Nothobranchius furzeri: one gene and its partner. The protein of the gene in region 1 binds, or shares a complex with, the protein of each later gene. Links are inferred from orthologs where the notes say so. Each region holds a gene or a part of one and is shown in the gene's direction. Other genes may lie near its edges.

What was found.
Region 2: the proteins of cct3 (region 1) and pdcl3 are in contact, whole or in part, in a cryo-EM structure (PDB 8I6J), measured with the Homo sapiens proteins. The link is inferred for Nothobranchius furzeri from reciprocal best matches to the Homo sapiens genes CCT3 and PDCL3. Residues at the interface, in NP_005989.3 of Homo sapiens: Met47, Pro53, Met54, Val58, Met59, Thr60, Asn61, Asp62, Ala65, Arg68, Glu69, Arg167, Ile258, Glu261, Phe264, Leu268, Gln269, Glu271, Ser297, Asp298, Leu299, His302, Ser380, Glu382, Ile383, Arg389; in NP_076970.1 of Homo sapiens: Glu66, Ala70, Met73, Tyr74, Arg75, Arg77, Arg78, Trp82, Leu182, Pro212, Lys213, Ile216, Glu217, Asp218, Val219, Arg226, Leu229, Met230.

Annotation. Positions count from the first base shown.
Region 1 is NC_091759.1:9,430,756-9,435,370, reverse strand, and holds the start of cct3 (T-complex protein 1 subunit gamma), read left to right. Parts: upstream 1-1,679; 5' UTR 1,680-1,782; coding exon 1,783-1,810; intron 1,811-3,075; coding exon 3,076-3,137; intron 3,138-3,419; coding exon 3,420-3,470; intron 3,471-3,564; coding exon 3,565-3,627; intron 3,628-3,712; coding exon 3,713-3,809; intron 3,810-3,912; coding exon 3,913-4,030; intron 4,031-4,196; coding exon 4,197-4,383; intron 4,384-4,495; coding exon 4,496-4,615. Other genes in the region: pdia8 (protein disulfide-isomerase A3), read left to right, coding at 1-96, 185-313, 420-499, 583-640, 726-815. UniProt on the Homo sapiens protein: Component of the chaperonin-containing T-complex (TRiC), a molecular chaperone complex that assists the folding of actin, tubulin and other proteins upon ATP hydrolysis.
Region 2 is NC_091754.1:32,212,163-32,216,656, forward strand, and holds the start of pdcl3 (phosducin-like protein 3), read left to right. Parts: upstream 1-1,692; 5' UTR 1,693-1,806; coding exon 1,807-1,812; intron 1,813-2,473; coding exon 2,474-2,594; intron 2,595-2,776; coding exon 2,777-2,867; intron 2,868-3,828; coding exon 3,829-3,972; intron 3,973-4,109; coding exon 4,110-4,318; intron 4,319-4,494. UniProt on the Homo sapiens protein: Acts as a chaperone for the angiogenic VEGF receptor KDR/VEGFR2, increasing its abundance by inhibiting its ubiquitination and degradation.

The DNA of each region.
Region 1 (4,615 bases):
TCACTGGGGAGGTTCCTTGAAGATTATTTTGCCGGTCGTCTCAAACGTTACATAAAATCAGAACCTTTACCTGAGAAAAACACGGCTCCTGTTAAGGTGAGCTGAGCTGCTTGTGAGCGTGACTGATTGTAAATACTGATTGTAAAAAATTTGTGCTGACCTCCTTTTGTCTTCAACACCGCAGGTGGTTGTCGCAGAATCATTTGATGAAATCGTGAACGATCCTGCTAAAGATGTTCTGATTCAGTTTTTTTCCCCGCTATGTCCACACTGCAAGAAGCTGGAGCCGGTCTACAGAGAGCTGGCTGACACGGTACACAGCTTTATTGTATTTTTGATTAAGTTTCAGTGCACTAAACTCTAGAATTAGGTCGTGTTGCTCTGATAGTAATCTGAAAATGCTCTTTATGTGTTCTCAGTTGCATTCTGACCCAAACATTGTCATTGCCAAGATGAACGCCGTCTATAATGACATCCCACTGGGATACGATGTCCAAGGGTGAGGATGACGATGTTGATGAGCACTTTTAAAGAAGAAAATTCATGAGTCTTTATTTCCTATGATTTTATTCTTCTCTCCAGGTTTCCAACCATCTATTTTGCTCCAGTGGGTAAAAAGGATGAGCCCATTCGATACCAGGTACCAAGTTTTAATAGTTTCAGCTTGAGTTCATCAATCTTTGAGACACATGATGTCTAATGGTTGTGGGACATCTTGATTTCAGGGCACTCGAGAGCTCAAAGACTTCCTAAAGTTCCTGAAGAGTGAGGCGAGTCATGGTCTGGTGCTGACTGGGTTTAAGGACGAACTGTGACAAAGATTCACCTACTGATCAGAACTGACTTTGATTAACAAAAAGATCAAGTCTTGTAACAGCTACACAGACATGAATGGGCAGCAAGAGCTCTGCTCCTGGTGACACACCAGAAACAACGAATCAGGACATGGTCCACCCATTTTTGTTTCTACCAATCAGATTCTTTCCATACTCCCCTCTAAAACCATGTCCTTGCTGAATAGAACTATTTATATATTTATTCATTTATAAAGCCATTTCATGTGCAATTCTTTGTTTTTTTATTCCAGAAAACTAAATGCATTTTGATATAATACCATCTGTGCAGTTTGTATTTGGTGCTGTGTTTAGTTTTTATTTATTTATTTATTTATTGACTTAATTACTTATACTTTGGCAGTCTTTGGTTATTTTGTGAGCTTTGTTATGTTGAGAAGCTCTGCTGAGATTATGTAATAAAACCATGCTTGACAACTGACTGTTAATTAAATTCTCATGAATTAATACGCCTTAATAGCTTTTGTAAAATTGTTTTCAGCCGTTGTTTTTATGATGGGATTTAAAAAGAAATTTAATTTTTAAATTATACTTCAGTGTGCCTGAGTTTGCTCAACCATTATTTCCATGCCTGTGTGTTGTAATAAAGCTTAATAATAATAGCTGGGATCAACTGAACAAACTTTGCAAGTTCCACGAGTGTTAAAACACATAAAAGTCATTTTCAATCTTCGTAAAAAAAATTTTTTTTTTTTTTTGCTAAATCGTTGTGGGTTCTATTTCTATTAGGTTTTCTCCATAAAAGGCCTATTACTAGAAGAGTTTACCTCATTCACTCTATTGGTGAATGCGCATGTCAATCAAAAATAATAGTCTTTGCTAATTGGCCGGACCTCAAGTAATGTCTTGCCCATTTTGTCTGAGCCGTCCCTCTCCTCGTGCCACCCAGAACCTTCGAGGCTAGTGCTGTTAGCGTCGTGGTCTCAAAATGCTCGGCCAGCAGGTTTTAGTGCTTAGTAAGTATCGAAATTTGTTCTTAACTATACTTTCAATAGTTAGATGTCGGTTACTTCCCGCCAGTTTCTGCAATTTAGTCAATTTTGTGACCGTTTGAACGCGGGGCAGATCGGCTGGGACACAAAGCAGCTAAGGATGCGCTAACCAACTGTTATAACTCAGCCGAGCATCAGCTTCTTCCACCGGTATTAGCATTGTTAGCCTACATGCTACTGATAGCATCCACACCCAACCGGCATCATTAGCATATTTAGCTCGTGTTCGGAAGTAGCGGAAAGCGTGTAGGTATGCTAGGCTAGGCTAGCTTAAGCTAACAGTCCTCTTACTCATCATGAGCGTGCAGTTAGACAACTGCGAACATTATATAATAATTAAAAAAGACATGAAATTACCTTTGATGCAGCTATTAAACACGATTTTGAATTAGTTTTGTGTGTGCGCTGTGACTGAACTGAACAACAAAATAAGCATCCGCTTTAATACATTCCGATTTCGATTGATCTATTTGATAGCCTGTAATTGCGAATTGACAGCATTGTTATCCTGCAAAAATCAAAATTCATTCATTCATAGTGTCTGAAATCACGAAAGCTCTATCTGTACTGGTATATTCCGTCCATTTTGTCTTTACAATTATTTTAGACTAGAATAGATAGCTCCCTCAGTGGGGGGATTTTGGTGTCACAGCAGCAATTAAATTCATTATAGGAGCTAAAAAGAAGAGTATAACATAATAAAAAAATTACGACAACAAAAAAATTATTTAAATATTCGAAACACTCATTTTATTTGGAATGCAATAAGAAAATGTTTTATTTAGCTGTATAGATATTACTAGTTTAATGATACAATCCAACAAAATTGATTTTAAATAAAGATGCAACAACTCAGTTAGTAAGGAGAATAATTTACTACAAAGGATTCTAGTCATAGATGCACTTTGGCCTACGTGACTGGTAAATCATATTCATTAATTTTGAAGCATTTTAACAGTGTTGGACATTTGTCAAAAATGATCTGTCACATATTTATACACAGCTGTTTTTATTGATTTTTTTTAATGTAATGTGTTGGTTTGTTATCGATCTGGCAGGCATGGGATTGCTAACCATACTGATAAATTACTTCTTTAAAACCAACAATTTCGAATTGCTAGTCATTTAATTGGGTCACTCGAAATAATGGCTATCTGTGTTTTGAAGCAAAAACACCCTTCAATTAGGTGACTCTGTAGTGATTTCTCTGTTTTCTTGTCTCTTTTTAGACCAGAATGTGAAGAGAGAATCAGGACGTAAAGTCCAAACTGGAAACATCAATGCAGCAAAGGTCAGTTGTTGCTGTAAAACGTTAAAGCTTGTGTTAGACAGTCTCATCTGTCTTTTGAGTGCGGAAGAAAACTGTTTAATGTTTGAGATTAGCCAATCTAGGCTGTTTTTTTGTTTTTAATATGGAGACGTTGAGTAGCTGGGAAAGAAAAGGCCAGACTAGAGTAGAAATTCCTCTTAATAGACTGAGATCAGTCTCTGAAGAGAAAAATGCTTCATTTGTTTTAAAATTGTTTTATTCCCCCAGCCCTTACATATATTGTTCTTGTGCAATCTATTTTAGACCATAGCCGATGTGATCAGGACCTGCCTCGGCCCACGGGCCATGATGAAGGTGAGTTTGTCTATACAGAGAATCACCGCACCCAGTCATTTACAAAAATAAAATAAGTCCGTAATATTCCATGTTTTCATGTCATTTTGTCTAGATGTTGCTTGACCCTACAGGAGGAATCGTAATGACAAACGATGGAAATGCCATCCTCCGAGAGGTCAGGGTCACATAAACACTTGGAAGTTTGTCACTTCATCAATTCCTTCAGTGTTTCATAACATCCTGCTTCTCCATGGCAACAGATTCAGGTACAGCATCCCGCAGCCAAGTCGATGATCGAGATCAGTCGCACACAGGATGAAGAGGTGGGAGATGGGACCACATCAGTCATCATACTGGGTATAAAAGCTTTATTTTTAATCTAAAGAAGCTCAGACTTCCCCTTTAGAGGGAATTCAGTTTGTTTTATTTAACATCCGTCATTTAATGTCTCAAATTTCAGCTGGAGAGATGTTGGCTGTAGCTGAACAGTTTCTGGAGCAGCAGATGCATCCAACAGTGATCATCAGTGCTTACAGACAGGCTCTGGAGGACATGTTGGACACACTGAAGGAAATCAGGTAGAGTCTGACAGTTTCCATCGCCTCCTTGTTACATTATAATTATTTTTGATTTGTTGTAAGCCAACCAAACAGCAGCTTAGAAATAACATTACACATTTATGAATGAGTTAATTTTGTGAAACTTGTACAGGAAGTTTGACTGAATATTGTTGTCCTCCTCCAGCATCCCCGTGGACACTTCAGACCGCTCCATGATGCTGAAGATTGTTCACTCTGCCATCAACACCAAAGCTCTGAGCCGCTGGTCGGAGCTGGCCTGCAACATCGCGCTGGACGCCGTTCGTACGGTGGAGCTGGAAGAGAACGGGCGCAAAGAGATTGACATCAAGAAGTACGCCAAAGTAGAGAAGGTACGACTGTTGCTCATTACACCTGATCACTTTAGGTTAGAACAGAAGATCAAGTGTTTCCTGCATTAATTGCATTCATTCTTTTGTCTCACATCTCCCGTGTTGTGTTCAGGTTCCAGGTGGAATCATCGAGGATTCCTGTGTGCTGAAAGGAGTGATGGTGAACAAAGATGTGACTCACCCAAGAATGAGGCGAATGATCAAAAATCCCCGTATCCTCCTGCTGGACTGT
Region 2 (4,494 bases), on another chromosome or scaffold:
TCAGACACATTTACCAGGTCATAAATAAACAAGTTGAACAGTTTAGGTCCAAGGACCGACCCTTGTGGTACTCCACAACTAATATCTCGCAGTTCTGGTTTATTGTTATTTATCTGAACATATTGTTCTCTGTTTTCTAAATAGCGTTTAACCCATTGATTATTAGTGGTTTGGGTTGGTTCTCATGATGGTTTTAAACAAACCCATAATTAGATTTATTTTCACCAGATACAATACAGAGATTAGGTCAATGGTATGAATGCAATTTAATAACAAATAGCGAGCTGCCATCAAGGGATTAAGCATGCATTTCTTTTTTTATATATATTAATTTTATTTCTGAAGACAAAACAAAAGATGAATAATTAACAGACCAATGGTTAATGTTAAAAGAATGATAAAAGTTTTTCTCAGAGAAAACTGTAAATTTGAACTTCACATCGCGTGAAAGAAACGTGATGGCTTTTAAAAACAATGTCAGAGTGAGACCTCCCTATTTTTATTTTCTCTCTTCACCAACTTTCCCTTCCACGAGTTCCGGTAAAAATTTTCTTGCCCTTTCCTCATTGGATGCGGTGGTGGTTATAAATAGCACACAAAAAGAAACCAAATTAATTCATTTATAATAAATAACCTACCATTGTGTATGTGATTAGATTAAAACTGAGACCTTAAACAGATTATATTCAGAGAATTATAATTTGTTTAAATGATTTTGCTTTTTGCTAGAAACATTTTTACACAAATTAATTTAGTGTAATTTAGGAAAAACTCGAATGTGAATCAATAAAACATTAAGGCTCGTTGAATTAGAGTACTTTTGAAAAGGGCGTCATTTTTTAATCTGTGTGCGCGCGCACGTGTTTGTGTAAACCCTAAATAATACTTCTGTAATTAAATGAGCTGTTTTTATTTCTAATTAAGATTGGTTTTTGCATTACAAGCATTAGAAACTGATTTAGCCAACATGTAGTAAAAACTTAAATCAGCCACACGAGGGCGACATTTATCCAACAGAAGGTTAACGTTCTTCACTAATCTGGTGTTCTAGGAAATATCAAGGTTTACCTGATCAAGTTTGGTCTAACCTGTTTTCTCCGCTGAATTGTTGTTATGATTTATTTAACAACTAATAGAAACAACTCAAATGTCGTGTGGTTAATTAATAAATGAGCAACTTGAAGAAAAAACTCGATAAATGACAGAGAACCCGTTCATTTTGGAGCTGTAATATTGGTTTCGTAAATAGTGAAAACAACGAGCACTAATTAAATCCACTTGTTTTTGCACTTTGGGAATGTAGTACACTGTTATTATCAGCAAACATTTTCCATTAGCAAATATTGTCGATGTGTTTTATTTTACCCAGTGAAATGTTATTTTTTTAATTCAGTAAAACGGAGAGAGGCAGGTTCGGGTCCGGTACCGGCCTTCCTGAATAGCACCTGTCTGGTTCCGTTCCCAGCTGCTACAAATGGATTGCTTCTCTCTCTTTCCTTATGTGGTCATATCGCACCTCGCAGGAAGTTGGTGTTACTTGTATTATTGTCTTTCCACACAATTAAATATTCCTCTTTTATTTTTTGTTTCGAAATCGCTGATTACTTTACAGTATTTTAAATAAAAATATTTCTATTCGCTTCACAATACTATTCAATTTAAATGACAGCATTTCCGGGCTAAGTAGATTAAAATAAAATCTACAGTTTCTTGTTTCTGCCGGATCTGCCCACGCGGACTTCCTTCTGTTTCCGGTTTGGAAAGGAGCAGTGGTGTGGTTTAGAAGGGACTCTTTCATTTGTCAAAATGCAGGTTTGTTTGGTTTTGTTTGGATTTTAAACAGCTTTCGTTAGCGAAAGTGGCGGTTCAACGGTGGTGAAAATTATGTGTACATGTTTTTATCGTTGAACAAAGTAGCAATGGGCGTGTCGTTGTCGTGTTAACAGTTTAATCAGATCCCTGAGCAGGAGAATAATATCAAGTAAAACCGAAGAGATGTGAAAAGTTTTGTTTAATCCGTCCTTTACTTTTGGACAAAAACCCCCACAGATCGTGGGTTTAAATTGTCTTTTTTGAATATTCAAACTAAAGTTCGCTTTAAATGTTCACTGACTTATATAAATGTCCGTGAGTCTGAACACAGATTTTGGTTAAACCATTTGGACTTTTCTTCTTTTCCTGAAACATGTCAATTAAAGTAGAAGTGCCACGTGCCTAACTGTTGATTATTGGCCCTCACTTTCATTATCCTCATTGTTTTCGTTGCAGATGAAATAAAAGTGTTTAATTACATAAAATGAAGCACGTTTTATTAAAGGCTACTGATGGCCAATAGCTATAATGTATTTTCAGTAATTAAATCATCTGATTTGTTTTTTAAGCTTATAGTTGTTAGACAGACACAAACAGAAGTTATAATTAATTCTATTACATTTGTCGTTGTGTGAATGATTAATTATGTTTTCATCAAAAGAACCCAAATGAAGACACGGAGTGGAACGATATCCTGAGGAAGAAAGGCATCCTCCCCCCCAAAGAAGTTCCTAAAGAGGATGAAGAGGAGGAGGAGCTGGCCCTCCAGCAACAATCTGTCGGTATGAAGGCTTCAACATGACTGTTTAAGGGTTTCACCCACATTGATTTTAAATGTATTTTCATATTTTAACATACTTTTTTACATTAGTCATATTATTTTATGTTTGTGCTTATCTCAATCCCATAAAATCAGAAATTGTAAGATTATTTGTGGATTAGAGGCCGTCTGCTGTTTGTGCAGTTAAAACATATGAGAGTATGACTCTGGATGAGCTGGAGGAGAACGAAGACGAGTTTGGAGAGGAGGATGAAGCTGCCATTGAGATGTACAGGTAAGTGGTTCAACAGGAGAACTGGGCGATCAAAACTCAATAACTATCTGTCGGGTTTTTGGTGCCTGATGCACTTTATTGTACATTTGACAAAACAAAACCCTGGTGAAATTTAGGGATGCACAATATATCGGTATCAGCCGATGTTAGTCATTTTTGAACATATCGGTATTGGTCCAATAAGTAAAACGGGGCTGACATTAAAAACCCAAATTTTTTCCATCTTGTTTCCGTTTGTGTATCTGTTTGAGAGGGTGAGGATGTGTTTAGTTTAGTCCTGTGACTGTGTGTGTGTGTGTGTGTGTGTGTGTGTGAATAACATCTTGCAAATTCCATTTTATAGAAAAATAGCAAAATATTCACAAATTCGGCTTACATAATGTCAGTCTATACAAAATTTGCTGATTTCAGAAGCATAAATCGGTATCAGACATAACAGTTATGTAAAAATCAATATCGGCCCAAAAACGTCATGTCGGTGCATCCCTAGTAAATGGCCTGTATCTGATATGGTGCCTTCTAGAGTTCTGGAACCCCACAATCAGTCATTCACCCATTCACACACACATTCACACACTGGTGGGGATGAGCTACGATGTAGCCACAGCTGCCCTGGGGCACACTGACAGAGGTGAGGCTGCCGAGCACAGGCGCCACCGGTCCCTCCGACCACCACCAGCAGGCAACGTGGGTTAAGTATCTTGCCCAAGGACACAGCGACAGCGACAGACTGAGCGGGGCTCAAACCTGCAACCTTCCGATTACGGGGCGAGCACTTAACTCCTGAGCCACCGTCATCCACCAGTAAAAATAAAATCTCTTTCCCATATGGTTGGTTTTTACTCGATTACATCTAGGAAATCAAGTCAACGCTTTAATTCTGAATCTTATAATTTCTTCTATTCCTGATGCATTTCTCTCTCCGTGGCTGTGTGCTGATGCAAGCTGCATCTCCTTCCAGACAGAAGCGTCTTGCGGAGTGGAAAGCGGCTCAGATAAAGAACGCTTTTGGAGAACTGGGGGAAATCTCTGGACAGGACTACGTCAAGGAGGTCAACAAGGCTGGAGAGGGAATATGGGTGGTGCTGCACCTCTACAAGCAGGGGTGAGTTAAGACCAAAGCTAGACCTGGATGTTTTACATAAACATCTGGAAAGCTTTATGTATAGAAAACATGCTGCTGAATCTGAATCAGTGTGGTGATTTCAGCACTAACCGATCCGCCTGGTCTCTCTGTCCCAGCATCCCTCTGTGCACCCTCATCAACCAACACCTGAACACGCTGGCCAGGAAGTTTCCTCAGACCAAGTTTCTTAAGTCCATCTCCACCACCTGCATCCCCAACTACCCCGACCGGAACCTGCCCACCATCTTTGTTTACTTTGAGGGGGAGATGAAGGCCCAGTTCATCGGTCCTCTGGTGTTTGGGGGCATGAACCTCAAAGTCGAAGGTAGGTCTGATTTATTAAACCAGACCAGACTCACCAAGTTACTGTTTAGGCTCGTCCCTGTAATAAGAAACCTGAGATGATTTCAACGTTTAAACATCGTGTCTGACTACCACCGTTCTGACGAGCTGTTGATCGTTTTTGTTTATCTGCTTGTTCTCCAGCTTAAGTGTTTCTGT